Linked DNA regions of Styela clava. The protein of the gene in region 1 purifies or fractionates together with the protein of each later gene. This does not show direct contact. Links are inferred from orthologs where the notes say so. Each region holds a gene or a part of one and is shown on either strand. Other genes may lie near its edges. The genes, in order: splicing factor 3B subunit 6-like and coiled-coil domain-containing protein 97-like.

The links.
Region 2: the proteins of splicing factor 3B subunit 6-like (region 1) and coiled-coil domain-containing protein 97-like purify together in Homo sapiens (affinity purification with mass spectrometry; 3 studies listed by BioGRID and IntAct, counting the BioPlex papers as one, with this or other methods). This does not show direct contact. The link is inferred for Styela clava from reciprocal best matches to the Homo sapiens genes SF3B6 and CCDC97.

Annotation. Positions count from the first base shown.
Region 1 is NC_135263.1:10,169,281-10,185,958, forward strand, and holds splicing factor 3B subunit 6-like, read right to left. Parts: upstream 7,927-16,678; 5' UTR 7,813-7,926; coding exon 7,783-7,812; intron 6,806-7,782; coding exon 6,687-6,805; intron 6,456-6,686; coding exon 6,317-6,455; intron 5,874-6,316; coding exon 5,784-5,873; 3' UTR 5,297-5,783; downstream 1-5,296. Other genes in the region: 2-hydroxyacyl-CoA lyase 1-like, read left to right, coding at 8,377-8,430, 8,566-8,716, 9,517-9,665, 9,843-10,015, 10,554-10,802, 10,887-10,955, 11,383-11,503, 11,750-11,863 and 4 more; ubiquitin conjugation factor E4 A-like, read right to left, coding at 14,195-16,678.
Region 2 is NC_135257.1:17,900,090-17,915,771, forward strand, and holds coiled-coil domain-containing protein 97-like, read left to right. Parts: upstream 1-6,806; 5' UTR 6,807-6,893; coding exon 6,894-6,945; intron 6,946-7,509; coding exon 7,510-7,912; intron 7,913-9,231; coding exon 9,232-9,404; intron 9,405-10,206; coding exon 10,207-10,303; intron 10,304-11,010; coding exon 11,011-11,194; 3' UTR 11,195-12,249; coding exon of another isoform or gene 12,250-12,313; 3' UTR 12,314-12,556; downstream 12,557-15,682. Other genes in the region: mediator of RNA polymerase II transcription subunit 18-like, read left to right, coding at 12,250-12,313; cytochrome b-c1 complex subunit 6, mitochondrial-like, read left to right, coding at 6,102-6,395; galactosylceramide sulfotransferase-like, read right to left, coding at 15,532-15,682. UniProt on the Homo sapiens protein: May play a role pre-mRNA splicing through the association with the splicing factor SF3B complex which is involved in branch-site recognition.

The DNA.
Region 1 (16,678 bases):
TGTGACCCCAGTACAACTCATGTCTGATATCCGTGATGATTCATTATTAACCATTTTTAAATTTTAAGGCTGTTCCAGTATTTAACCGATTTAAAATTGAAAAAAATGGCACTTGCTCAATTTTTTATTCAGGTTTATGATTCCGTTTGAAAGGTCAAAAATTAAATACGATTGAATAAATGACTGTCAATATTTGAAAAACTACCCTTATAACGTTAAAATGCACAATATACCCAATCAAACTACTTGAACAGTTTTACCCCAATAATTTTATTACTTCTTAAAAAAGATAAGAAATCGATATATACTGGTATGTCCACAGATTTATCTAGGTCTTTCTAGGCAACAACGAAGGAAGAAGAGTAGGGCATGGGGGCAAAAGCAAACAGGCGGCCGAAGAAAAGAGGGCAGAGCAAACAGTCGACCGAAGAGAAGAAAGGGGCACAGAGTATCGCAGATAGTCAGCGTAAGAGCACAGAGAGTCCAGGTAGAAGGAAAGCCAAGCCTCGCATCCCATCGTCCATATCCGGCCCAGCTGCTATATCTCAAAAGTGAATATCAATGTTATCAGTGGCGGCGCGTGATCATTTTGACAACCGGGGCAAGCTACTGCGGGACCAAGTCACCCCCATCTACGGGGACAGGATGAGCGCTTTAAGTTCTCCCATCATTTTATGAGTATAAAAACCATTCCATCGGTAACAACCAATCGGCAAAAGCGACAATTTTTAACGATAAGAAAGTGTCTTTAAAACCGGTCCAAGTCAAGGGATTAATAAATATAGACATAGTTTATTTTGAAAACTCTTTCAAAAGGAAAGGCAATATTTACCCAGATAAATACAATGTCATATTAACAGAAACTTCGGGAAAGCAGACAAAACCTAAAATAAGGTTTAAAACGTTACTATGAAGAGAGGAAAGGTAATGCAAAGATAAGGACATGCGTCGCTCACTCATAGATATATATGCTGCTAGACTTCTACTGCTTGAACATATATGCAACACGCCGCGGTTTCTTGGAAGCAAAATGCTCAATAACGCGCTGATTAAAGTCATGCATCCCAGAAATAACGTCTCTGTGAATGGATAAAACAGCCAAGGAATTTAATCTATCTTGCTTCATTGTGTTTCTGAGATACGTTTTAATACGCTTCAGCGTACTGAATGTTCGCTCTGCGTCGGCGGAAGAAATAGGCGTCGTCAAAATGATGTCCAGAAATTTTGCAGACGCCGCAAAGGTAGTTACTAGAGTGTTATCTATGAGGAACCCATAGAGCGCGCAAGTTGATGTGATGTTCAAAAAAGTTTGATTGGTGTATATACATCGCAATTCATTTTCCAATTTAGCCACGTTTATCATGGGGTAAAATTTGGAGACAGTAGCCAATAAATGGATGGGAAATTGACGTGCAAATTTTGCAAAATTTTTGGGGTTCATCAAAGAGAACGCGGCAGGGTGTTCAGTGCGCAGACGATCGTCTATTTGATTCACCAGAATGTCACAGCATTCCTTTGCAGACAAAATCAAACGCTGCGTTGTTTGCCCGCGGCGTAAAGAAGCACTCCATGTGTCGTCGTATTTTATTGTTTCCCGGATACGAGATACAGCATCGCAGAAGTCTGAAATACACGACTGCACAGACGCTCCATCCATTAGCCTTGACTGCAATGCGCCGTATAATACATCCACGTGATAGAATATTGTGGAGAAAAAAGCGAGAAAAAATGAAAACTCACCATCTTCTAGCAGACGCTTTAGACCTGCCGCCTCCCTCACAGAGCAGAGCGTTCGTCCCAAACCGGAGAGCTCTGAATGCCATTGAAACACTCAATGAGCTCAGACCTAATTTCGGACGCGCCCTGCACCACGCGTGATTGGAAGTTCCAACGTGTTGGTGCACAAGCTGGGAGACGGCAGCTACATATCTGGCGAAGGAGGTCAGAGCGCTTCGGCGAAACGGAAAAAATGAAGAAAACCCCGAAACATTTGCAAAAAATATACGGACGAGAGGGGGATCAAGACACATATTTTTAATAACGAGGTTAAATTGGTGTGCAAACAATGTAAAAAATGCGCATGAGGAAAATCTTCTTTTATATAAACTTGAACACCATGTTTCGACCCACTCATGACTGCCGCGCCGTCATAAGTTTGAGCTATCAATTTTGACTTCGCGTTGTAAGGCTGTAACACTTCTTTCAGTACAGCCGATATCCCGCAAGCCGTGCGATCAACGATTGGTACAAAGCTGTAAAATCTTTCGGTAGGTTTACCATCTTTCACAAACCGAAAAATCACAGCCAGTTGAGAAACGCACGTGATGTCAGTTGTCTCGTCAGACTGAATCGAAAGGAACTGGCAATTCTCAATTTCCAGAGCCAAATGTTGTAAATAAATTTTATACATTGAGTCGAGCAAATCATTTTGGATATCCTTAGATGTCCCTTTCGAAACACTTGCGGCATCAAGATGATCGATCTCTCAATACTGTATCTAGGGATGCGGTGTATTCCACCATATCCAAAAATACCCCTCTATTAGAAGAGCCAGCCCGTTCATCGTGCCCACGGAAGGACAGCTCGTGACAACCAATGAACTTCAAAACATCTATCAATCGACCGAGAACATGGCGGTTTTTCTCGACGTTTTGGTTGTGCCGACGAATAAAAATGGCGCGTCCTTCATCCAACTGTGCTGCAATATTAACATTTCCGAATGTTCGGTATTTTACTGCATTGTCCAGATGCTCCATAGAAGATTGATGATCCCTGGCACGCTCGGAAAGATGTTTAAGATCTCTAAAACCAAATTTACACCAACGTGAGTCACGAGCGGTAGCAAAAAGTAGGCAATAAAAACAAAAAAGTGCATTTTTGTCCTCGCTGTAACACAACCATTCGTGTTTTTTATACCAAGTTTCTGCGCAGAATGTACGCCGACGCTTTCCTCCGTCATGGGATTGTTCCAGTGAACAATTTTTTGGTTGATAAAGCCCAAGACGTTGTACCTCTAATTTTTGTTCCAGCGGCAGCTGCGAAAACGGAGTGCGAAGTAGTGCATCAACCTTATTCATTATGAGGTCTAAGGCAAAGAAATGCGAAGCCGGAAAGAAGTGAGGAGCTCAAAAGGAATGTGGAAAATCGAAAGCAAATGGACTAAAGGTCTCTAACTGATTCAAATAGCGAAACAAGCGACAAAAACGAAGGCGAGGAAACTATCAACTCTTCAAGCAACCAACGAACGAGAAGGAATGCGTGAATATGTCAACACGTTGTTGTAAGAAACGTCGGCATTGTGTCGTCATAATTTCGGGGCTAGCCCCGATCGGCCCCGATGATTTAGTAAAAGAAACAGAAAACAAACGAGACAAACGCGGCGAGTGGAAGATAAAAGAGAGAATACGATATACAATGAGCAACGGGGGCAAAATCGGCGTCGCCCCGTCGACGTTCGGCGAAGGCTTTGCGAGCGAAAAATGAACCATGTCGGGAGAATATGGCTAGTGTAGACAGTCTGTGCAACCGATATTGAGGTATTTTTCGAATATTTTTTTATTATACCGAAAAAACACCCGGGGCATTGCCCCGGTTGGCCCTATTGACGTGCCGCCACTGAATGTTATATTGGGGGTGTCCCGTGATAGATCAAATGACGACGAACTCGACGGCTAAAATATTTGGAAAACCATCACTGATTTCTAACAATTTTCACCAATAGGATTGAACAATCATATTTCGTTTTTCCTGCTAGTGCGACTTCAGTGATGCTGTTGTAGCGGGCAGGCTACATAAGAATAGTAGGATAGTTAGGATAAGGATAAGAAAAAAGATTTACATATCTATCCCGGGGATGCCATGTCGGGTATGGGATTAGTTTTATTGTTTGTCTTCGGAAGCATGGACTTGGTGGTGGAGTAAGCCGTAACCGACCAGCGGTTACGTTAACCCCCAACGACGGCGAGGAGTCCAGCGATCCTCTCACACATAACCATCCCTGCATGGGATTCGGACCTGCGAACCCACGCAGAGTAATTAGAGGTGCGGTGGCGAGCGTGTCCCTTACGCTTAGCCCGTTGAGCCACACCGCCGCGCCTGTGTATTCTAGTATTCTTCACCACATATTGTTAATAGTGCATGTTATTTGCCTGAAACAAGATCGTTGCTCTAATTCATTCCCTTTATGATATATTTTCCTTCGCTCAGTGCTGCTCGTGTTTATCGTGCGCATTGTTAGTTAGAAATTTGGTTTCATCATATATATTGGGGTTAAGGTTTTAAGTGTATTTCGTTATCTGTTATTTGGATTGTGCATCTAAATATACGAACATTTAGCATTCAATCTATTGTGTGCTTATTGACCTCTGAAGGAGTCAGTTGGGGTTTTACTCCGCTAACGTGTGTTTAATAACAGGGGGGTAAGAACGCGCAGATAGGGTCAACAGTCCCCTATACTGTAATAGGTATCCCTAACCCCTTAATGAGGATGTCCCCATGATAGATCAAATGGCGACGATCTATGGAGCTAAAATACGTGGAAAAACACTATTGACGAAGTGTCTAGTTTCGTGTTTTTGAACATCTTTAATCTTTCTTAATTTAGGGTACATGCTATAACTTGCTCACATGCTCAACCCGTGATAATAAGGTAACAATTGGCAGTAACTAGAGCGCAAGAAGCTAAACACTTGAAGTATTAAACGTACTGTATTAGTATTCATTTACGTTTCACCGTTAAACTATTGCACTAAAAGTCGGCGGGCCATTTTTAATCGTTACAAGTGCCGTAATTAACCCGCGGTTTGGGAACCCCAGGTTCAGGGGCATAACTTGTGTAATTTTTTTAGCTTCCTTTTAATCAGTATTAAGTTAGATCGTTTGTGAGCATTTCTGAGAATAAATAATGTGACCGTCTTTGTTCGTTTTGCCACATTTTGCGCCCTCCAGCAGCGTGCCGCCCGTGGATTTATCTACAAGATCCAATGGGTAGCTACGTCACTGCATCCAAACCTTTATTTAGAAGCCCATTTAGTACCTCGACGTAATAGCAGTTCAATTAGCCTGTAACACGAGCTGCGGTAATTTTATTGGTGGCGAGTTCCCAATTTCATCTACTAAAACGATAAATCCAACTTCCGTGAATAGGTGAGCGGTCAAAAACTGTAATATGCAAAGGTTACCTGTCAATAACCTTCATAAACAGTTCTCTCAGCAGCTAAATAAGCACCCATAAAGTAACCTGGTAGGCACATTCTGATACATTACTACAACTATATACAAACATTTGAAGTAAATGTAGATGATATAAACAATGTATTTACAAAAAGCGCTCCATTGAAATGGAAGCTGTAGGGTACCCACATTTTTGTAACAATATTGAGAAAGTATGAAAAGTGCCATAAGCAAATATTGAGAAGACAAAATTGGCAAATTTATAAGTTTTCAAAGAGTGGGGGTTGCAAGCGCGAAAATAACTTTGGATTAATTCTAGAATTAGATCTGACAAACTTCAAAAATTTTTTTTGTGACATAGCGTTTAACCTTGATTTGCGCTATTTTCACGAAAAGTGAGCGAATTGTATGCCTGTTCCATGATTGAAAATGTCTACACAAAAACAATGACGAGTTGTTTGATGGTGAAATTCTAGACAATTTTGCAGTATATACCAAAGTGGATAAATTTCAGTTTCTAGTCACAGATCCAACTGCCAATACTTTGTCATCCAATAAACACACTGCCTCTCCGGTAAAAAATTAAAAACAAAAGGAAAGCCATCTTGGATTCACTTTTTGTCGTCTGTGCTTACACCAAATTTAGCTTTCATCTTTTCCAAATTTTCTTGCTTCTTTTTAGCATCTTGTTTCTTGAATGTCTGAAAGTGTGTAATTGAACCAAATGTCACTTTTATAATTGGAAAACATTGCAATATAATAATATACATGATCCCAATATAATTGAACTAAATAAATTTGTTCACTGTTCTAATGCAAATGTTGGGTGATTTTATCTATATATTAAATATGCAATATAATATTTAAAGTGGAATGAGTTAATGACTAATAGTTTAAAGGCTAATATAATAAGTAGCAGATTAGAATAAATGAGATATCTGAAAGGTGACACAATCATAAATGATTCAGATATTAGTTCCCTTGCGACAATCTTACGTGAATGTAAAAATAAAGATAAAGTCAGTTCTTCAACCAATGTCATCATTGGTTAAATAAAACCAAACCATATTAAATTAAAAATTATATTATAAAGAATAATATGGATTCATGCTCGATTTCTGGAAGCCAAACGTGGAACACGTACCCTGTTTGGATTGTAATATAAAACTACAAGATATCTGTTGCAAACATTGAAACCAGATAAATGATCACAGGCATTCTTTGCATCAAATATATCTTCATATACAATATATGCAGTTCCCTTTGACTCAGCTGTAGTTCCCCTGTAATGAACAATAAAATAAATAGTCAGTACATTGAATGTTGAAGGGAATAGAAAAGAGAAGTTTTTAATTGTGACGTAATGGGCTGAGATCAATTCCTTGAAATGAACAACAATTACCTTAAGTAAAGCTTAGTGTTCCACACTACATCGGACATAACCATCCTTGGCCAAATATTTAGATTCTTTTTATCTCAATAAATGTATATTTTCAATAAAAATGATATCTTACATTCGTATTTGTCTGATTGCACCGTACTTTCCGAATATATCATACATTTCTTCAGCTGTGATTTTGTATGGTAAATTCCTGACATATAAAATTCTGTTAACTTCTGGTGGAAGTCTCACCTGAAATATAAAAAATATTATATAACAATTGTCATGAAATGGAGTTTTTGTTAATCAAAAATTAAAAAAATTTCAAATTAATATATTATAATTTTGAAAACAGTCATTTACACAAAGTATTCATAAAAATGAATAAAATTTGAAATTGTTGACAACAACGTGCTGATATTTATTTTCTACCTTAGGTGTGGGTCTTGTAAAACTGAAAATTATAGACATGAATGTTATTAGCCGCTATAAATTATAGAATCAACAGAAAAAAGAAGATATTCTTGTGGAGGTAAGAAGGAATACAGAAGGTCGATGTTAAAATTAAAACAGAGTTAACAGCACATTCGATAAATATTATTAAAATTGGTTTAAATATCCATTTGTGTTTGATGAAGCACTCGAAAAAGTTCTAGGGTAAAAAAAAATATTTTAGGTACGGTACCCGTATTTATAGTAATAGGCAGGCATACACAGCTATGCAATTTCATGTCAGTGTGAAAGTGCAATAGATTAAGATATAAAACTGCTTTGGCAGTTTGGTAACGATGGCAGACTTTCAAAATCACAAATTTAGTAGGCTAGTGTCCGAGGGTCGATAAATTATTATTTACTAATTTTACAATTGAATTTATTCATGAGAATTATTACAGTTAATTGATATAGGCTACGGTACCTTAACTTAATTCTGATGTGATAATTCTGTCATAATTCAGTAATTTAAATTCTTTTTGATGACATGGCACTTACTTCAACATTCAACAAAACTAGAATTACAAAACTTTAAAATCTGGAGTGATTGATGAAGTTGCAGTGGAGCTTATTCCAGTCATTTATTACAGACCCCACAGCTGAATGGTAAGTTAGGTCTGTAGGTACGGACACGGTACCGTACTGGTACCGGTATGTATTTCATTATAATTCGCGACGTCTTACGAAAACTATCATATAAAAACTAAAGCAAAATCATTTACAATTTAAAAACTTACATTAGCTCGCCTTGCCGCTTGCATAGCCATCTTGAAATTCAGATATTTGGAATAAACCAGCGAAAACACCTCTGTGAAGCCGAACAACAGACAAGAAATCGTCAAATAGTATTTATGTATAGAAAGATCCTACGCGTAAAATAGGAATGTTCCCATTTAAAACAATCTATTTCAATAGTGCTATAATATGACGCAATAACGCTGGGGAAACGTAACAAGAACGATTCGCGGATGCCCAATGCTGTTAAAAAGTGTCATAAGTTTTACCATTATGTTGTGGTCATTTTGATCATAATTGCCTTCCGTGGATATCGATATTCTAATGGGCAGCTTGTTTTTATAAATGCGTCGATTTGAATCTAATTTTTCCTTTAAACACAGTTGGTAAGATGCCATTTCTAATCTGTTGCCCAATGCTCAACAGGCTTTGTTTGCGCTTAACATCAATTTATTTGCTTGCTCATATTCTCGCTAGCTACTGCGCTTGATATAGTTTTCTCTGTAGTACTGAGTAGGGTTCCAGTAACAAGGCGTCCTGCAATCAATAATTCGGTGTTCTGCAATCTATTTTGGATTTGAAAGAAAATTTAGATCATGGACGATGATATCACAGGGGCCCAAACCTTGGCGGAAAGTCTGAAAGCACAAGTATGTATATGTGGGTTATTTATGCCAATGTCAGAATGTGTTGCATTCTACAGAAATAACAATACAGCAATATGTTAACAATTCTAGCGGTATGTCCAACATATTTACTGTGATATTTTCATGATTTTTTCGCAGGGAATCAAATACATGTTTGGAGTGGTTGGAATTCCTGTCATAGAGGTTGCAATTGCAGCACAGGCAGTCGGCATTCAATACATTGGAATGAGAAATGAACAAGCTGCTGCATATGCTGCTGGTGCTATTGGATATTTGACTGGACGGCCAGGTTCCCTTTTGATCTGATTGTTCAAATTGTTTATCAGTTTTCTGTGGCATGTTTGATCCAGTTTTTCAAAATTTTTGAGAACCAAATTTATTTTATTCCTTATCCATTTGAGTACTTTCAGATCCTTGTACTGCTTATTATTTCACAATTGAATGCATCTAAACAGATAATAATTTTGCTTTGAAAAGGTGGAATATTTATTGTGTGGATGGTACTTTTAAGATAAGGCATAGAAATATCATATTTTTACTGGAAATGTTCAACATTTTCAGTTCAAATAAAAGTTGCTGAAGCATGGAAAATATGCTTCTATTTACTACAGGAGTGGTGACTCCTCTACGGCCCATGGGCCGGGGCCACGGCCCATCTAATTGGGCCACATGGGCCGTGGCCCATAGCTTGATGGGCCGCGGCCCCATCAGGAAAAATTCAATTATCTTAACAAAATTTTCAATTTTTACCAAATTGTCGATATTCGAACCAAAAAAATATACTCCTGTAGTATGTGTACCAGGTTAGGGTTAGGACAAAAAAAATTCAGATTTTTTACATTATAGTTCTATTATGAGTTCGGGGACTGTCTGTGTTAGCCAAGTGAATAGTTTCTTTACACAACTTGATGGGCCGTGGCCCCGGCCCATGGGCCGCAGAGGAGTCACCACTCCCACTCTCTATTTAAGAATTCTAGAAAAATTAGCTATTAACCATAATTTTAACTCAAGCTCAGCGGAGAGAGAGTGGTGAAGAATTATTTGAATTTTTTATGCGCACTGATATTAATGATTTTCTGTAATTCACAGGTGTATGTCTGGTTGTGTCAGGGCCTGGTCTGATACACGCTTTAGGTGGAATGGCAAACGCTCAAGAAAACTGCTGGCCCATGATTACTGTTGGAGGTTCATCTGATCAAGATCAGGAACAGATGGGGGCATTTCAAGAATTTGCCCAGGTATATTAGGGGTTATCATAACAAGGTTATGTCACCATTTTTATAAGTCTAAATTTATAGCTATACTTGTATTTGTCTATGGATTTTGTTTCCTTATAATACGGATTTGGGACTTCAGAATGATTAGGCCTATTCAGTTATATACAGTATATATTTACCCCAATTTATCATCTCCAGGTAGAAGCAAGTCGGATGTATACCAAATTTTCTGCTAGACCATCTAGTCTTGAAGCAATACCATTGGTTGTTGAGAAAGCTGTTAGAACATCTATATATGGAAGACCTGGTGCTTGTTATATTGATATTCCTGGCAATTTTGTAAATGCTTCAGTGAGAAGGGGTGATTGTAGGTAAGCTTCACCAAATTTCTGATTGTTATACATCAGTGTGTAGTAACCTGAAATGAATATTTTCAAGTAAATTATTTTATGGACCATGCCTTCTGTATTGGAGAATTTTCAAGTTATCAGTTTTGGAAATACTCCAACCAAGTCACCGAAGTAGCAAAAAATTGCATTGAAGATAATTTCACACATTCATAGATGCCTTCCTAAAATATTGAAAAATTGACTAGCTTGTTTCTGCAATATGTCAAAATATGGCTGCATTGATACCGAGACAAATATTGTCAATAGATTAATGAATTCTAGTTTGATTTTCACAATGACATTTATTTCATATCTCCATGCCAATGAGGGGCATATTTATCTATATCATTGTTTTTATGAAATCTATTTCAACTCGAAACAGCAGTGACCCAACATGATTTGTGAATCGGGAGGGCAGTAAGTATCAGCTTGATTTGAGACTGATGACTTACTGCTCGCAACTTGGAGATTTAGCAACATTCATTAAATACTGATATTTATGCTTATTTATTATATTCAGACAGTTTCCAATGTGCCCAAATCCATCAGGCTTGAAAGCTGATTTGAATGTTATGAAGAAAGCATGTCAGACATTGATGATTGCTAAAAGACCATTGGTTATCATAGGCAAGGGGGCAGCCTACTCCAGATCTGAAAAAGAAGTGCTGGAATTTGTGGAGAAGCATTCGTTGCCCTTTTTGCCTACACCTATGGGAAAGGGTGTGATACGTGATGACCATCCATTATGTGTATCTGCTGCGAGGTCTAGGTAAGTTACCTCCAATTATTTGATTTTTCAATGGAATGATAGCAAACGAAATTATACAAAATGAAAATATTGGAATATTTCCAGGGCTCTTCAGATGGCAGACTGTATACTGTTGATTGGTGCAAGATTGAACTGGCAACTTCATTTTGGAAGGTAACTATTGTTTATTTTTCAAAATTGACCAACGTTTTTTGGTAGCGCAACCAAAGCACTAACAACAGCTGCAGAAAATTTATTTATTGCAGTAGTGAAACTAGACTTTCCGGCAGTGAGTTATATATAACCTGTCTATCTGCGTACAATTTTTACAAAAAAACGCCTAAAAGCACAATTTAATAATACAGATATTGCTTACATATGCTTCTCTAGACATACATCACAAAATAATAATTTGATTTCATTTTGTCACACTACTGAGTAACAATCCTGTTTCAAAATATATAGAAATTAATAGAATAATACGGTTTTTGCACAAATGCTCCCTGATGTGCCCAAATTGTTCAACTGTCATTACTTTCCAGTTGCCCGTAATTTTTGTTCATCAACCAAATTTGTATCCATAAGTACTGTCATATTTTAGGCCTCCGCGATTTGATGAATATGTAAAAGTGATTCAGATTGATATCTGTGCTGAAGAATTGGGGAATAATGTTCCAAGCAGTATTGGCATCCATGGCAATATATCAGATGTGGTTAAACAGGTATGTTGAAATTTATATATACATATATGCTGAAACTCATGTTCGCATAATACAAATAGCATCGGCGAATTTACTTTCTAGACACATTTTTAAGCATTTGAATTGCTATCCATTAGTTGTGATTTTTTATATCTCACCAAGCAAAGGCTGATGAGTATGTGACGTTTTTATCAGAGATTATTAGTATATCCGTGAATATCATTTGTCATTCAAATTAACTGTTTCTATTTTTTTTTGAAAATTTAGATGCAGCAACACTTTGTTGGAATTCACAGAGGTATCATGTGGAAACATCCAACTGATTCTAAGTGGTGGGAAGCTTTGAACGAGAAAATTGAGAAAAATGATGAGCAAGTTAAGGTATAACAATTAATCGTAATTTAATTCAGATAAATTTTGTAAATGGAATGAATTGTTTGTTATTCATGTTTATGTTGATTGATAGTTTTTTGTAATATATCTTACTTTTTCTTTGTAGGCGATGTGTGCGGATCATTCCGTACCGCTCAGCTACTATGCCGTTTATGATATATTGAACAAGTACTTGCCTAAAGATAGCATCATTATTGGGGAAGGAGCAAATACTATGGACATTGGAAGAACTATGATGAAAAACTATTACCCAAGACATAGGTTTGGAATGATTATTAGACTGTTTTGTACAAGGCAATTGTCTTGTATTGTAATAATACCATAAAATTGATTCAACATATGATTTCTCATAGGCTTGATGCTGGTACTTTTGGAACAATGGGAGTAGGGGTTGGCTTTGCAATTGCAGCTGCTTTATATGCTCAAGATTCTGCAAAACCAGGACAAAAACCTCAAAAAGTGGTAAGCTAGTTTCTTTGGTTTCTCGCGGCTTCCCATCCCCAGTAAAAATGTGTGGTGAATTTTATTTATTTTTCAATTTCGGAAAAAAATAAAATTGACTAGGACTTAGTGAAGGTTGAATTAATTTTTATTACTTTATTTCATTACTTCTTGACGACACAGTGCCAGAATCTAGTAGTTTGGCATTTTGCCTGGTAATCATTGATGAAGGGAAAAAATTATTTTCATTGAAATGTTTGAATGAATTTTAAAATTGAAGAATTAATTCTGGGGTATTCTATATAGGATAGTGTTTGGAATGTAACAGCAAGCAATATAGTGTATTCAACAAATGCATGAAAAGGGACAATTAGTGTCAACTTCAACCATACAAGAATTGTATGGGAATTGTCATGAACTCTGAATTGATATTTACTATTTAGGTATGTGTACAAGGTGACAGTGCTTTTGGATTTTCTGGAATGGAATTAGAGACTGTAGTACGATACAAACTTCCCATTATTTTTGTGGTTGTCAACAACAACGGTATTTACAGTGGTGGACCTAAAATGTTCTGGGATGGACTAAAAACAACAGAAGATGTTGCAACTGGGTAGGTGTATTGGTTTCTTGATGAAATAAAATGAACTGGCTAGATTGGTCTTGACTTGGATGAAAATCAATTCACATTTTCTCTCAATAAATTTTTTACTGAATTTCTTGAACATCTATAATTTAATTGTTAATTTTTACTTTGGTTAGGTCACTTCCGATGTTCTTGACTCCAAATTCTCGTTATGAGCAGATAATGAGTGCTTTCGGAGGAATTGGCTACTATGCAGAAACACCCGATAACTTTGATCAAGCCCTTAACAATGCTTTCAACAAACATGCTGATAATGGGGAGCCCTGTCTAACCAATGTTATGATCGATTTGACTTCTGAGCGAAAGCAGCAAGAATTTCAATGGCTTACAAGAAGTAAAATGTGAACCTAACGGCTGTCAACCAAGTCATGAATAATTCCAATTTAATTTTTTGTTTTAATATACAGAAGTGTTTATCATCTCTTCTATGCAATTGATATTAATTTTAAATCTGCGTTTCCTATTAAATCCTATTTATTATCATTGCAAGTGATATTATCTTTGTAAAGGGGGGGCATTACCACCTGTAGGGCTGAAACAACAACCGTTGATACGGGTGCGACTGCAAGGTATAATTTGGCGTTTTTGGTTGTTTTGCTGTTGTATAGACATTACGATAATAGCATGCATGCAAAAACGCGATTCATTTAAATACCTAGAGCTAGTTTGCCTTTCCAAATTTTTTTTTTACCAGAGCAGTGTTTTCTTGAAGGGTAAATAATTCACAGCTGTCTTGCCTTTCCTTAATAGGCCTGACTAAATATTTCACTAATCTTCTACACAAGCATCAATATATAGGCCCAAAAAATGTTCTAAAACAAAGGAAGAAACCAGGCCTGCCTCAAAACTGGTGATTGATATTTAGTAGCGATTTGAGCTAGAACCAAAAGGTATCTTGAATACCATGATACATACAACACTGTGAAACTTCAGAATGACTATATTTAAAGAAGATGAGAATGAATGTATACTTTCTAAATATTATTTACATAATTTGATGATGGTTCAGGTATAAACGGTCGATGTCGATTGTTTGGTATATTCCCATCATTGTACAGCAATTTGTACAAATATACATAAGCGAATCCTATATTTCAGCGAATTGAATTTGTACAATCTTATACTTGACCCAGTTCACTGTATGATTGAGTCACCACCTACCATGGATAAAGGAAAATTATACACACAACACAATTGCATAGCGGCAGTAGCCATAAAATATGGTATTGGAACTAGCTATCAGATTCATCAAGTTTTTTCTTCCTCTTCTCTTCAATCCAGAGCGTGATTTTATTTTTCAACTCTGTGTTTGGGATAACATCTTGCATTGTAAGAGAAGATCTGTTAAATGGGTCAGTGGGATCACTCATCAGATGTCTTGATATAGTAGATCTGTCTACAACCTGTTTTGATGTTGGTAAAGTCACAGGATCACGCATTAATGTTGACATTAAGGCATCAAAAAATTCATCAGGAGCATCCATAAACATCTCTTCTTCTTCCTCCTCTTGACTGCTAAAGAGTTTGACGCGTTCAGATATTTCCATCATTTTCTGTCGTAACTCTTCATTACCGATACGTCTAAGAACTTGACAGGCCATTGGAAATAACTTATTAGAATATGACCTACCATCTTTTGATATAGCATGGCAAAAATCATCTTTTACGCAAAGGTGGACATATATTTGGCATAAGTCCACTACAAGTACTTTTGGTTTGAACTGGTATTTGGAAAGATCTCGTACCCTTAGCGCACCCATTTTCGGCCCAACTAATTTTAACAAAAAGTCATCAAGCATGGCAGCTACTCTATCAGCCAGAGATGGATGACTAAAAAGTTCTTTGACTTCTTTGGCTTCTGTGAGATAAACCAAGGTGTCTAAAGTGTCATTTGATAATAAATTGTGATATTTTGCCAGCATTCCTAACTGTCTCAACTCCCCTTCTTTTTGCATTTTTTCCTGTTGATTCAATTCTTCCCATTCGCCTGCTGCTTTCTCACGTTCAAGGCCTTTTATTTGTGTCAAGAACCCCATGGCTTCATCCAATAAATAAATAGAATCATTGAGAAGCAGGTTCGTAAATTGCAAAAACAAAGGATGCGAAACCTCATCAATATTACTGATAGCCAATCTTACATGCTTCTTGATCATGTCATTACAAGATTTCTTCTGCCATAGATATTTTAGGATTTGATACAAGGGTTGCCTATAGTGAAACTTTTGCTCAAATTGATTTGGATCGCCAGTAAACTCTATGTCGACAAAAAGCTGAAGAGTAGCAACAGTTAAAAATGGAGAATGTGGGAAAGCATTGAAAATTTCTTCTTTGTTGCTTTTTGAATTATCATCTTCAGATAAAGGCATTACAATTGGTAACACTTCAGCAAGAGAGGCACGCAAATGTGGATTTGACATTCTACTTTTATTTCCCATGTAAATCGTAATAACAAGAAGAATGTCATGGATAAATGGGTTAAACAAGTGCGCCGATGAACGATCGAACCTCCAAATAAACAATAGCATATCGGTAAGGTTTTCCACAACATATTCAGGAATGCAGTAAAGACCTTTAGGCACAGTTTCGCCCTCAGGAAGGGGTAGAACAACTCGTGCCAGTGTATCATTGTTGTCTGACATGGCAATATGATTCAAGTATTGTGCTGTTGTACCATGAAGTCGAATGCACGCTTTGAGAAAAGCGGGCTCAGTTAACACTCCTTTTATACTCAAATAATTACGCATACCCGTCTCGAACCTTTTGACAACAAGAGCTGCGTGTCCATTTGGATCTTGTCCAGAAGCACGAATCTGACGATAAACATCTTCATCACGATTTAAACTTCGATTCAACTTATAAAATTTTTTGATAAGGCCATGGACACTGAGATAAATTGAACGGTGTGTTAAGAAAAAGCACTCTGTGATAAAATTATACGAGTCAGCTATAGTTACTGGCGCTGGTGTATTGTCTTCAGTTGATTGCAACCGGGTATCCTTGTGTAATTGAACGCCATGTACACCCTTGGCATGGGCATCAGGCTGTCCCGTGACATCAATATATGATGAATTAATTTTTAAAAACTTGGGAGGTGTTGATTTCGAGGACCCCTCTTCAATACCTTTTACAACAGTTTTTTCTGAGCAAAAGGGCAAACAAAGACGAAGTAATACGCTGCTAATATTAAGTTGTGTCGCATCTGGACCAAACACATCCATAAAAACATCGACGTGTTCGTGCGACCACATTTTTGCAAGATAACCATGATGAGCAATGGTATTACCAAACCACTGCAAAGTCTTAGAACGGGTAGACTTGTGTTTCAGAAACTGTCTAATAATAGAAAACAGTTGAGAATGGAACCCATCTGTTTTATTCTGAAGATGATATTCCTCATTTTCGACCTCAGTTGGACCCATCCTCGCAACATCTTCAAAAAACAAATACGCTTTTGTTTGTGGATCTGGAACAAGACACGACTTTCCGAATAAAATGTCAAGAAAACTTTTCTTTTGTGTTCCTTCCATAACCAACTTTCCATCTATTTTAGCATCATGATTCAAAGTAACAACTGCTAAGCCAGGATGCTCAGCGAACGTTGACAAAACAGCAAGATGAACGTGTAATCCGGCATCTAATAAATCATCAAGGCCGAGATCATTTGCAAGAACTTCCAGCAATGGTGCAAAAGCGGCTTCCATCAGATCAGGCTCATT
Region 2 (15,682 bases), on another chromosome or scaffold:
ATTTCACTATAACAAAACAGTGGCAGCATGTTTTGACTCGGCTACATATAATACCAAAATAGCGTGTATTCTCAGTTTTATAAACATTGTCGACGTAACAAATTTAATAGGGATTTGTATTTCAACTGAAGCTGCTGGAAAATTGATCAAATATATTTTTCTCTTTGTCACAAATGAATACTGTACGTTTATTAAACTAAGAATTAATTGGGAAAGTTTAAAATAAAAATAAAACATTTTACGCTCTCTATAATGGGTTCTTTTCTGAATTCCGAAAAATAATCGTTTTTGAAAGGGCGATTTCCCGAAAACCGCCAATAAAGGCAGCACTACGACACATTCGGAAAAAAGCAAATACCTTTTAGATTCGACTTCACTATACCATAACAGTAGCAGCACGTTTTGACTTGGCCATTTATAATACCAAACATAGCGTATATCTCAAATATTTGAATAGCGTAGATGTTCACATATTTTGAAAAGGTTTGGTATTTCAAATAAACTCACCTAATATCGTAATATTCCGTTTTCTTACTTTTTCAAACACCGATACTGTGTGTTAATTAAACTTGGAATAAGATGCAAATTGTATGAAAAAGTGAAAAATGTCTTACAACCTATATATAATTTTTCAATTTCCCAAGCATGCCGTTTTTGGAGTGACGATTTCTCGGACAATGGCCAATAAAGGCAGCAATACGACACTTTTGGAGAATAGCAGATACGTTAAAGATTCGATTTCACCAAACCAGAACAGTAGCAGCACGTTTTGATCTGGCCATATTTAATACTAAACATAGCATATCATTTTCAATTTTATCAACTATGTATATGTAACATATTTAAAAACGGTTAAGTATTTCAACTAAATTTACTGGAAAATTCATCAAATACTTTCTTCTCTTGGGTATACAACAAAACTGTACGTTCATTAAACTTGGAATTAGTGTGCAAATCTTAAAATGCCAAAAAATGATTGACGCGCTCTTGTGGATCCTTTTCGGAATTTCGAAAAATTATCGTTTTTGAAAGGGCGATTTCTCAAAAACCGCCAATAAAGGCAGCACTACGACACAGTCGGAGTAAAGCAGATACCTTATAGATTTGTTTTCATTGTGTCAGAACAGTAGCAGCACGTTTTGACTCGGCCATATATAATACCAAACATAGCGTGTATTCAAACTTTTATAAACAATGCAGACGTAACATATTTAAAAACGGTTTGGTATTTCAACTAAATTTCCTAGATAATTTATCAAACATCTTTTTCTTTTGGACATACATATATACTGTACCTCCATTGAACTTGGAATGAGTTGCGGAAAGTATGAAATAACGGAAAATCATGTTTCGCCTTCTTGTTGATTATTTTCAAATTTTCGAAAAATTATCGTTTTTGAAATAGCGATTTCTCAAAAACCGCCAATAAAGGCAGCACTACGACACATTCGGAGAAAAGCAGATACCTTATAGATTCGATTTTATTATGTCAGAACAGTAGCAGCACGTTTTGACTTGGCCATATATAATTTTATCAACTATGTAGATGTAACATATTTAAAAACGGTTAGGTATTTCAACTTAATTTACTGGATAATTCACCAAACACTTTTCTCTCTTGGTCATACATCAAAACTGTATGTTCATTAAACTTGGAATAAGACGGCGAATCCTAAAATAACAAAAAATGATTTGACGCTCTCTTGTGGTGTTTTTTTGAAGTTTTGAAAAAATATCGTTTTTAAAAGGGCGATTTCTCAAAAACCGCCAATAAAGGCATCACTACGACACATTCGGAGGAAAGAAAATACCATATAGATTTCATTTCATTATGTCAGAACAACAGCAGCACGTTTTTACTTGGCCATATATAATACCAAATATAACGTGTATTTACAATTTTATAAACAATGTACACGTAACATATTGTAAAAAGATTTTGTATTTTACCTAAATTTACAGGATAATTCATCAAACATCTTTTGAACGTTCATTAAACTTGGAATAAGTTGCAAATTGTATAAAACAACAAAAAAATGACTTACGCCCCATAGTAATTTTGTTTAATATCTCGAACATACCGTTTTTGGAGTGGCGATTTCCACAAAACCGCCAATAAAGGCAGCACTACGACACATTCGAAGAAAAGCAGATACTCCATAGATTTTGTTGAAATACCAAACCGTTTTTAAATATGTTACGTCTGCATTGTTTATAAAAGTTTGAATACACGCTATGTTTGGTATTATATATGGCGAAGTCAAAACGTGCTGCTACTGTTCTGACATAATGAAATCAAATCTATAAGGTATCTGCTTTACTCCGAATGTGTCGTAGTGATGCCTTTATTGGCGGTTTTTGAGAAATCGCTTTTTCAAAAACGATAATTTTTCGAAATTACGAAAATAATCCACAAGAGGGCGTCAAATCATTTTTTGGCATTATAGGATTTGCACAATAATTCCAAGTTTAATGAACATACAGTTTTGATGTATGACCAAGAGAGAAAAGTGTTTGATGAATTATCCAGTAAATTAAGTTGAAATACCTAACCTTTTTTAAATATGTTACATATACATGGTTGATGAAATTAAAAATTATACGCTATGTTTGGTATTATATATGGCCAACTCAAAACGTGCTGCTACTGTTCTGACTTATTAAAATCGAATCTATAAGGTATCTGCTTCTCTCCAAATGTGTCGTAGTGCTGCCTTTATTGGCGGTTTCCGAGAAATCGCTATTTCAATTACGATAATTTTTTGAAATTTTGAAAAAAATCCACAAGAGGACGTAAAATGCTTTTTGGTATTTTATACTTTCCGCAACTTATTCCAAGTTTAATGAACGTATAGTATATATGTATGTCCAAGAGAAAAAGATGTTTGATAAATTATCTAGGAAATTTATTTGAAATACCAAACTGTTTTTAAATATGTTACGTCTGCATTGTTTATAAAAGTTTGAATACACGCTATGTTTGGTATTATATATGACCAAGTCAAAACGTGCTGCTACTGTTCTGACTTATTAAAATCGAATCTATAAGGTATCTGCTTCTCTCCAAATGTGTCGTAGTGCTGCCTTTATTGGCGGTTTCCGAGAAATCGCTATTTCAATTACGATAATTTTTTGAAATTTTGAAAAAAATCCACAAGAGGACGTAAAATGCTTTTTGGTATTTTATACTTTCCGCAACTTATTCCAAGTTTAATGAACGTATAGTATATATGTATGTCCAAGAGAAAAAGATGTTTGATAAATTATTTAGGAAATTTATTTGAAATACCAAACCGTTTTTAAATATTTTACGACTGCATTGTTTATAAAAGTTTGAATACACGCTATGTTTGGTATTATATATGGCCGAGTCAAAACGTGCTGCTACTGTTCTGACATGATAAAATCAAATCTATTAGGTATCTGCTTTACTCCGAATGTGTCGTAGTGCTGCCTTTATTGGCGGTTTTCGAGAAATCGCTATTTCAATTACCATAATTTTTTGGAATTTTGAAAGTAATCCACAAGAGGACGTAAAATGCTTTTTGGTATTTTATACTTTCCGCAACCTTTTTCCAAGTTTAATGACCGAATAGTATATATATATGTCCAAGAGAAAAAGATGTTTGATAAATTATCTAGAAAATTTAGTTGAAATATCAAACCGTTTTTAAATATGTTACGTCTGCATTTTTTATAAAAGTTTAAATACACGCTATGTTTGGTATTATATATGACCAAGTCAAAACGTGCTGCTACTGTTCTGACATAATGAAATCAAATCTATAAGGTATCTGCTTTACTCCGAATGTGTCGTAGTGATGCCTTTATTGGCGGTTTTTGAGAAATCGCCTTTTCAAAAACGATAATTTTTTGAAATTTTGAAAATAATCCACAAGAGGACGTAAAATGCTTTTTGGTATTTTATACTTTCCGTAACTTTTCCCAAGTTTATTGAACGAATAGTATATATGTATGTCAAAGAGAAAAAGATGTTTGATAAATTATCTAGAAAATTTAGTTGAAATATCAAACCGTTTTTAAATATGTTACGTCTGCATTGTTTATAAAAGTTTGAATATACGCTATGTTTGGTATTATATATGGCCAAGTCAAAACGTGCTGCTACTGTTCTGACATAATGAAATCAAATCTATAAGGTATCTGCTTTACTCCGAATGTGTCGTAGTGATGCCTTTATTGGCGGTTTTTGAGAAATCGCTTTTTCAAAAACGATAATTTTTCGAAATTACGAAAATAATCCACAAGAGGGCGTCAAATCATTTTTTGGCATTATAGGATTTGCACAATAATTCCAAGTTTAATGAACATACAGTTTTGATGTATGACCAAGAGAGAAAAGTGTTTGATGAATTATCCAGTAAATTAAGTTGAAATACCTAACCTTTTTTAAATATGTTACATATACATGGTTGATGAAATTAAAAATTATACGCTATGTTTGGTATTATATATGGCCAACTCAAAACGTGCTGCTACTGTTCTGACTTATTAAAATCGAATCTATAAGGTATCTGCTTCTCTCCAAATGTGTCGTAGCGCTGCCTTTATTGGCGGTTTCCGAGAAATCGCTATTTCAATTACGATAATTTTTTGAAATTTTGAAAAAAATCCACAAGAGGACGTAAAATGCTTTTTGGTATTTTATACTTTCCGCAACTTATTCCAAGTTTAATGAACGTATAGTATATATGTATGTCCAAGAGAAAAAGATGTTTGATAAATTATCTAGGAAATTTATTTGAAATACCAAACTGTTTTTAAATATGTTACGTCTGCATTGTTTATAAAAGTTTGAATACACGCTATGTTTGGTATTATATATGACCAAGTCAAAACGTGCTGCTACTGTTCTGACATAATAAAATAAAATCTATTAGGTATCTGCTTTACTCCGAATGTGTCGTAGTGCTGCCTTTATTGGCGGTTTTTGAGAAATCGCCCTTTTCAAAAACGATAATTTTTCGAAATTCCGAAAAGGATCCACAAGAGGGCGTCAAATCATTTTTTGGCATTTTAACATTTGCACACTAATTCCAAGTTTAATAAACGTACAGTTTTGTTGTATACCCAAGAGAAGAAAGTATTTGATGAATTTTCCAGTAAATTTAGTTGAAATACCAAACCGTTTTTAAATATGTCACATCTACATTTTTTCAATGAAATTAAAAATATACGCTATGTTTGGAATTATATTTGGCCAAGTCAAAACGTGCTGCTACTGTTCTGACATATTAAAATCGAATCTATAGGGTATCTGCTTTTCTTCGAATGTGTCGTAGTGCTGCATTTATTGGCGGTTTTTGAGAAACTGCCCTTTCGAAAACGATAACTTTGTGAAATTTATTAAACAATCCACAAGAGGGCGTAAATTTTTTTTCAGTATTTCAGACTTTACTCAACTTATTCTAAGTTTAATGAAGTGCATTATTGTTGTGTGACAAAGAGAAAAATATCTTCTTTGATGAACTATCCAGTAATTTTAATTGAAATACAAAATCAGTTTCAAATTTGTTGTATATACATTGTTTTAAAAATTGAAGAATATACGCTATGTTTAGTATTATATATGGTCAAGTCAAAACGTGCTGAGACTGTTCTGACATATTGAAATCGAATCTTTGAGGTTTCTACTTTTCACCAATGGTGTTGCAATGCTGCCTTTATTGGAGGTTTTCATGAAACGACCATGTTACACGACGAAAATTCAGTCATTTTTAAACATCTCTCAAAGAATTATAAAAAAATTTTGTGCACTGTAACAGTCGCTTTAGCTTGTTTACCATATATTAACAATACGAGGAGTGTAGTTAATGATTGTTTTGCTTTAATTGCTATTGTGAAAATAATCAAAATATACACTTTCTTATAAAAATCATTGGGAACATTTAATTTTACGCGTGGGTATTTTCTGCGATTCTGTCAGTAACAATTTCGTGTTTTGCTGCTAGCTTCACAGAGGTCGTTGGTCTGGATTTAACGTTCTGATTGCTGGTTTGGTTCGATTTTTTTTTTGAGTTCATTGCTCGGAACTAAAACTTCGTCGTTTCGTTAGAACTGAATTTCAAGAAACTGCAAAAATGACTCTTGAAGAACAGAAAATTTACGCCAACGACGATCCCGAAGATCCTGAAGACGAGGAAGATGACGACGACGAAGAAGAAGAGGAAGACTTAGTTGACCCAATGGACGCAGTTAAGGAAACTTGCAATAACATTCCGGAGTGCTCGCCCTATAGAGAAGAGTTAGTTCGATGCGAGGATCGAGTGAATAGCCGGAGTCAAACGGAAGAAGATTGCGTCCAAGAACTTTTTGATTTTCTGCATTGTGCAGACCATTGCGTGGCTGATAGATTGTTTTCCATGCTGAAATAACTTTTAGGCCAACTTTAAAAGTGTGAAACTGTGTTTTGGTATTGTTTGTTTAGCATTAAAGTTTAGAACAAGTTATAAATTTAATTATTCTGTATGTGGCAAATTTGTTGAAAATGTTATCACCAATTACAGAATTACTGAATTTCAGAATTAATTTATATTTGGTTTTCTATATTTGAATAAAGTTTTGTGATTTATCAGCGATTGTATTGCTCAATTTTCAATGCTAAATTTAATTAGTTTGTATGGTTTCAAAGGTTAAAATCTTTATCCAAACTGACAAATGCCGTAATACTAAATGTTGATTCTTTATTTACTAGTTTATCACAACACCCAGACACTGTAGGACTGGCTGCGACTGTCTATAGTATAGATATATTTGCAGCTTTAACACTCATGAAATTCTGAGGAATTTTGTGCTGCAAATTTTTCATTTTATTCTGATGTGATTTTGATGGTTCGACTTGAAATCAAGCCCTAAATTGTGGATGTATTTTGATGATCATGGATGAGAAAAATAGCATTGAATGTTTATGTAAAAGACTAGCAGGTGAGTAATTCATACTCCACAAGCAGAAATGTCTAAACAATTGTGTTTTGATGGAATTTCTAAGATATTACTATATGAAAAATGTTTGCAGAGTATTTGTGTCATCAAAAGATAGCTAAATAGTCCAGTTTGAACACCGCAATGCCGCAGAAATTGATAACAAACAAGCCAATGATTTAGAGAGATTGCCAAAACTTCAAATGATGTTTAAGCACGAAACATAAAAGTACTACATGAGCGATCTCACTTTGTCGCACAGGATTTAACTTAAACAAAAAAATAGGATGAAATAACATTTATTACATGTAATATAGGCTTTTGGCTTCAAGCATTGCGATAATATATGCCAATGTCATACGCTCTTCGAAAACCTGAATATTTTTTATTGAAAAAAATTGCTATTTTGCTATTAAAAGTTTAATTGAAGTTTATTATAAATTTTTTTTTACTATATGAATATCATGAATTGAACCCCAATTTAAAAATAAGAGTTTTTGAATTGCTATCATGGGATATAATTTGTTTAAATATAATAAATTGATTTTATCTTTTGTTATTATCAAGGTTTGGATGAAGTTTTCTTACCGATTAAGAAAGTTGGAACAACTCCCGAGGTGATTGAAGACAAAGGAATTCTCACTGCTGAGAAAAAATATGATGAACTTCAAAAACATTTCGAACAAAGCCCCATGAGGTTCTTGCAAAGATACTATGAACATATAAAGCCAAATGAAATTTCCTGCTTCAATTCTTTACCAGAAAATGAGCAAGTCTGTTATTACATCCGGCAGATTTGTCACAAACAAGATCTAAAAGCAAGAACAGAACTTGACAGTCATTATATTTCACATGAAGTTAAAAATCGTCGATATCAAGCTATGCAACAAATGATTAAAGAAGGAGAATATTTTAATGAGGAAGAAATGAGTAAAAGAAATCCGAAGCTTTATCAACATTACATAGGAAGGTTTGTTTATTTCATTGCTCATTAGTCCTGAATCTGTGATATTGTCTAGTGCAGTGGTTCTCAAACTTTTTTTTAAGTGACGCAAGTATTCGAATAAATAGATTTTTGGGTCTTCCGGCCCAAGGATATGCTCAAATACTAAACGTTCAGTACTTTTATGGCCAAAATTAAATGAATATTATCATGAAACAATCATTTTGATATAACACCTATTCCTCCAAAAATTATTTTGAAGTGAGGAAACTGTGTGTGTTTGTCATCAGCATGGAATCGATGCATGGCTTTACTAAAGCAAATTGAATGTCAAGATTTTATGCAGTGATACTGCCCACGCATGCAATTACTATTGAGAAACACTTAAATACCAAATCTACAATAAACAATCAAATTTACTATAAAATAAAATTAGTAACTTTCAGTTTTTTATTGAAAAAAGCGAACTACCCAGGAAATTTTTTAGGCAACCCAGTTTCGGGTCACGACCCATATGTTGAGAAACACTGGTATATTGCAGTGGCTTTCAACTTTTTTGGTGGAGAAGAACACCAATGCAACATTACAGAGACTGGAGGAACCCCTGTGCAATAGTGTGATTGCCTTTTATTGAATAGAATAAACTTTAAGATAAATGTTCAAGTGATGAAAGCAAATTTATACTGGCAATGGCAAGTTATTTTCTTTGGAGTGTAGCAGGTTAAGTTCTGTTACACTCTAACACAAATGTATACAGTCGCACTTTGACAATTATTTTAAGCCAAGTAATCCAAGAGTCTTGCTGTACATAACAAAGCAACACAAATATATTTTTTCTCTGTCTTTGGCCTCCTTGCATTATATGCTTACGGATCCACCTGTGCAAGATCATTGTAGAGGTATGACTACGGTAGTTGGTCCCACAGAAATCTAATTATTAGCACTTTGACTAGGTTAATAATACAATACCGTTTAACAACACTGCTTGGGGACCGTTTGAGGTCATTGATACCATTTTTTTTAATGATAAAGATATTTCTCTATTTGTAATCGAGTACAGCTTGTATCACATTTTAAAGTTATGAGAAAATTTTTTTTTTTTCAATTTCCAGATCTGTACAAACTTAAAATTTGACATTCGGCATACCCTGAATTCAAAACTAAAACAGGTAATAAAACTTGGTTATCTCATCTTTCTTTACCAATATTCTGTCAGAAATCCCCCCCAAAAAAAAAAACAGGCCTATAATCACAAGATATCGAAAAAAGTCCATAACTGAAAAATATGACATTAGCTTTAGCTTTAGTTTTAGTGTGGCATTCCATCTATCTTCTTTTCTCACTAGGTTTCTATCGGCAGAAGAAAAAGAGGAAAGAATGAGTGCAAGAGCTGCTGCCCATCCAACCACACTTTCTGGATTCTTCATGGATGTTATTGAGAAGAAATGGGACAAAGAGGATGAGAATCAAGATGAGGAATTTGATGATGACAGTGAAGAAGAGGAGGAACGTGTGCCAGGTAAATTTCTTCAGGATAGGAATTACATATTCATCCCAGGGAGAGGAAGATGGTAACATGACTTAATCATATCTTGAACCACGGCCTCTCGTCCTGTTATCAGTCAAAGTCAGGTATGGGATCAGTTAGTTATTTGTTTTCGGAAGCATGGACTTGATGGTGGAGAAAGCCGTTACCGACCAGTGGTTACGTGAATCACCCTACGGCGGCTAGGAGTTAACCAATCCTCTCGAACATAACTATTCACGCATGGGATTCCAACATGTGAATCCACGCAAAGTAATTAGAGGTGCGGTGATGAGAGTATTCCCAACGCTTAGCACGATGAGCCACACCACAGCGCCGCGGTAAACTTCTTCAAATTAGGATGGGATAGGATTTGCATATTTATCCCGGAGGAGAGGAAAGTTGATAATAATTGTATTCAATATGAATAAGAATTTCATTTGATTCAAGAAAGTTACCTCGTACTAACACAAATGTACTGATCTCATTCGGATGAAACCTTGCAGAAATACATTTGTGAGAGTTTGACTGGACCCAAAATTGGTTGACCTGTTCACAGAGTTTAGGTTAGGTTTGGTTAGGTCTTCGTTCATCACTGAAACGATGCAATAGAATGACTTTTTTGAATTGTCCAACAAATACTATATTATGACACCTGGACAATTATCAGTGCTAGTACGAGCGGTTGTTAGTACTAGGTTGTGATATGATTGACCACGTTAGTCAGATAGTTTTTTTTTCGGAACAAAATTTAAATTCTGCCATATCCTATTTCCTTTAATCATTCTTTTCATAGATATTTCCGAAGAAGAGAAGGAGTTTTTAGCTGAAGAATTTAAATCCAGAATGTACGAGAGTTTTCTCAGTGGAATGGATAAAAATTTCTCATATGAGTACGTATTTTTACATCGAAAGTGGAGTTTGGTTCATCATATCTGCAATATTACATAATCCTGACTTACTCGAACACAGGTGTCAAGCTCTGCCTTGTTTGAGATAGCGATACCATGGGACTGCCAGGCGATGGACCTGATGCCTTTTCAAGTCTGATAATATTATGTTAATTTTATTCCATCTTTAATAGATCTTTAGCTAGTGGAATATGCAAGTCAACACCTCGCCCACATGTTCCCTCATCCCCCTTTTATTATACATTGAATTATAGTAGTTTATAATGTGTTCATAATTAATTATTATAGAAATAATGAAAAAATACTCAGCAAATAAAAAGCGGATTTTCTTCTTCGAATACTTCCTCCCAGGTTGGGAAACAAGGGGTTATACCTGACATGGGGCCAAACACGGCCGTTGGGTAATTCAAACTGGCTCGCTCGATGCTGCCACAACCAAACTAAAACCAAATTTTGATGTTTTAACTCAAGGAATTTGTTGAGAATGCGATTAAATTTAGTTTTGGCACGAGAATTATGGTTTTCCAGTTTTGCTCTTGCGACACTGTAAATATTGTTCATAAAGTGTAAATTTTTGCGTCACACCCACATGGCCCTTCAGTTTGGGCGGACAAAATTCGTGGCCCCGGGTCGAAAATCCTTGCCCACCCTTGGGTTATACTGTGTTCATTAAGTCTTTATTTCAACAGGGATGTTGACATGAACACAGATTATGATGATTTTCATCAGATTGAACGTGATGTTGAAGACGATTATTTCGATCAGGAGGAACCATCGTTGAATCTTCCTGGAGAAGTTGATCAAGGTGCTGAAGATTCAGAAGATGAACTAGATAGATATATGAAGACGATAGATTCTTCGGGTAATGGATAAGGTTTCGAAGTTATGTGTTGGAAAAGTGAGAAACCCACAAAGCGCTATCACCATGCTATGGTGCATACAGTACAGTCGCGATAAAAGTGAGCGATATGCGTAGTGGAGCAGTTGAAAGCATAAGACTTAACGTCACATCCATCGCAGGTTACGTGTCCCTGGTTCAAATACCATGCTCATAACCTAACCCAAGGTGTAATAAATTGGGTAGATGTGGCCGAACTGAAAGATTCTGGTTCCTCTAAAGCAGGGGTCGGGAACCTTTTTGGGCAAGAGAGCCATGAAAGGTGCATATTTTCAATTGCTTTTTGGTGCGAGCCGTATGACATTTTCATCACCTAATCGTGTCTTAAATTTTTACTCAAAAGTCAACACATACAATGTCGATACTGTATACAATCTGGTGCTGCATATTGTCGCCGAGGGCCTTGTGACTGCTCACATGCAGCACAAGTTGAAATCCACGTTACTCATCACCTTTCTTTCTTTTGGGCATCACCGTAGTGCTTTAAAAATTAGTTTTGCTGGCCCAATCTAAATTTTACAAATAAACAGTACAAACTGACGGAATACTTATTACTTATCGATTTTAATCAGTATGTTAATAGGTATTTATCTGTTTGTTTGTCTGTCTGTTAGATGCACGCGATATCTCACGAAAGCGAGATTGAATCTGCTCCATATTTTGCATGTGCATTCATCACATGTCGGACCAGAAGCCTATAGATTTTGGATGAATTATGTTGTATAATTAGCGAGGTATTAATTAGTAGTGGGACACAAGGTGTCACTATGGAGTAAGAGCACTGTTTTGGGGGATCCCCTAACTTTCGATCGGTAAGTCTTCGATCTCTGACCGTTATTCTCATTCCATTATTGCCCCGCGACTCTATCGCTTCGTGATATCACAAAATATGTTCCAGAATCCCCTAGTTTCTTTCCCATGCGCTAAGCGCTCGCTCTGCAACGTGTTGTCAAAATTGGCTAAAAAGGAGAAATCTGGTAACAATAGTAAGCTTAGCCTTAGAATGTTGGATATTTCTGGGAGCCATATGCCCTTGGCAAATAAGGGGTTGGTTATATGGCTCGCGGGCTATGGGTTCTCGACCTCTGCTCTGAAGGTAGCACCTCCATCATATTTTTAGTTATCGGTTGTACGTTGTGGATAAGAGTTGTATAAAAAGTCTCAAATCCCCCCGGGGTCTTCAAGTGAAATTCCCCATCATAGTCGTGAGTCAAGTCAAAATTACCTCAAGTTTTGATTGATCCATCAGGTCACCGTGCCTTCCGTTTACAAGGGGAGGCGCAGCACTGAGTGCATTGGCAATTCCATGCTACAATACAGTTGTGTCAAAGTCCCTATACGTGTCCAGAGTCTGGAAACTGCTATCGAGAGACCAAGTCAAGTGGTAGATTTGATAAAGAACAGTAAAGTGGATAAATATGAGTCACATTGACACTTGTTTTAAACTTTATTGGGGCACATAGAGCTGTGACGTTTTGGTGGAGCCAAGCTCAACATGCCAGATTGGAGCCGTAGCTAACAGAAATTTTAGTGGCTCCAGCCCTTGACCATCTAAATTATTTTTCACATTTCTAGTTTCGCATAACCTGAAACTTGATAAAATCTACCCTTTTCACCTTGTAAAGATTTATATTTCTCATTATTAAATTACAATTTCTAATAATATTCTAAAACTGTGGTTCTCAAACGTAAAGCTATGTCCCCTTTTTAGAGTTTGTCAAGTCTCGCGCCCCACCTCAAAAATAACTAGCTAACAATAAGCTACAAATGACAGATGGTAAGGCGAAAGTAAGTTTCATTCAAAAAACACGTTGAAAATACGGTATGAAACGGATACTAAAGGTACAAGCACAACAGCTCTCTTCAATCCCTAGTTTAAACAAAGAAATGTAGGACCTCCAAAAGGCGCACAACCTGAACATAGTATTTGTGTACCGGTTAGTATTCAGGCTGTGCGACATCTTGGTGCCCATGCTGCTGTAGCACCGAAATGTAAATATCCAAAATAAGGGCAAATATTTTTAATTAGGTTCACGCCCCCTCAAAAAATGGTCGACGCCCACCGTTTGGAAACCACCGATCTAAAAGTTATAGTTAAATTTATGTATAGAATAGGATTTATATATTTGTCCCGGGGGAGAAGAAAGCCAATATGGTGAACAAGATCGGGATTCTAAACACTTCGGCGTAAGGTTCAGGCTTTGGAAGGGTGCACCCTGCTTATTATCTAGTCTAGCGTTGCCCTTTACGTTATGATGTCACCATTAATTTTGGCAACACCACTTTCGTTGTTTTATCTAATATCATAATTCTGTCAACCCTACAATTAAGGTTAGGGTTAATTTGTACGCCTACTATACCTTAAGTTGTGTAAATGGACGGAAGCCTATGGGCAGAGGGTATATTAACTTGACTGGCACAAACAGTCCCCGAATTCGTAATAGAAATAGGAAAAATTATAATAAACTTTGGCCTAACCTAGTACGGTACACGTACTACGGGAGTACCTAATTTGGGTGTAATTTTTGCCTGGATTGGAGGTAAATTTTGCAATCACAAGAGTGCTTGACCAAATGTATCCTTTAACCAAAAATGCTGACGCAGAATTGGAATTGCAACGGGACCATTTTACATGCCTAACAGTACAGCGTATCATGAAATGTGACTTTTTAAAAACCTAAACTCAACTAGATTCTGTTTTAAAAGTTCTGTATTGGCAATCGTGATCGGAACATATCCCGTCACTCTGGAACATTGGAGTCGGCCAGTCTCGTCGCAAACGACGGTCTTCATTCACCATGTGATCTAGCCGACCAACTTTCTTTCTCGATAAAAATGATTCCCAACTGGGAGCCCCCACCTAGGGTTGCCAACTATGAAAAGTTTCAATAAAGGACATAGATTACCGTCATCATTTATTTTGTAACTTGCAAGAAAGAACAATATAAAACAATGAAATAAAAATCATATACAGGCTAAAAAGATAAATTAAAAAAATCTTCATGTGTTTTTCATTTAATGTTTATGGAACATTTACCCAAACAAGCTCTAATTTTGCATAATTTTTTAATTCTTAAAGTTATATTTTTCTATAACATACTATGATTACACAAACATTTACAATAACAGCATTTTTGGATTGCGAACGTCATAGAGACCAATTATACGTGGAATTTTCAGTTATTGAACTAGAATTTACTCAAATCTTAGAGTGTTGCCATTTTCGGAAAATTACTATTTGAAATGTTAATAAAATTGTTAGTTCTTTGGCTATTTGAGCCGCACTAAATGGAAACTGAAAAAATTATTTAAAAGCTTACAACTACAGAAACGGAGGCGATTTTTAAGATCAAGACAATATCAAACACGGTGCTATAATAAACTATCGGGCAAAACGTCGTTGGAAAGAATAAAAGACAATAAGCATCTTTTTTAAATGCTAAAAAGGACAAGGACCGAAAAGTCTAATTAAAGGATTGTCCTTTGAAATAAAGGACGGCTGGCAACCCCACCCTAACAAAGACCACGAAGCAGTTGAATGGAAGGTCGCAAATAATTTTATATTTCTTTTTACAAAAAAAATTTTCATTCTTATTAGCTTTAAGGCAATTTGACCTTGTTGAGCTTGAATTGTTTGAACCTAATGTGATTCGGAATTTACCAATATAAATAACGCTATAAATACTACTGCAATGACTAACCGGGGTCGCCATCAGTTCTAAAAGCATTCGAAAGGGCACGAGACATAAAAAGTTGGGTCCACTGTTTTGGGGTATCGCATGTTATACATCTCTAGTTTAAATCGCGTGCCCGGTGTGTAATAAATTGGATAGGCAATCTTGCACTGGAATTCTAAGAATAGGAGGGCTTCACTTATCGGTGGCTGCTTTTCCACGGCCTTGGGTACTCCCGTAGTATGCGAACCAAGATGGCGGACACCGGAACGTGGCATATATGTGTACCAGGTCAGGGTTGGGCCCTAATTTCAGGTACCGATACTACGCGATTCACTTGGCTAGTCCCCGAACTCGTAATAGAAATAAAATAAGGAAAAATGAAGGGAAATTAGGACCTAACCCTAACCTAGTACACATACTACGTTGCGGTGTCCGCCATCTTGGTTTACATACTACGGGAGTACCCGACTTTGTTTGGAACCAGCAACTATCTTTAAAAACGCTACAGATTTGTGAAAGTCCACAACGTGAACGATCGTAAGATGATTCGCATTGAATTGATATAAAATTACAGTTGCTTCAGAAAATACGGCATGGACTTTTCGTAGTTAGGCGGCCCAAGTATCAGTCTGATCTTATTGTGGTGGATATTGCTGTTCTATTAACTTTTTATACCAAACGTATTCGGGGTATATTAACCCCTTGCATAGCGCATTGTTTTGTGCTTGTTCTTTCAACTTATATTGGGTAACGTTGACCCCGGTGGGCGTGAACATTTTGTAAGTC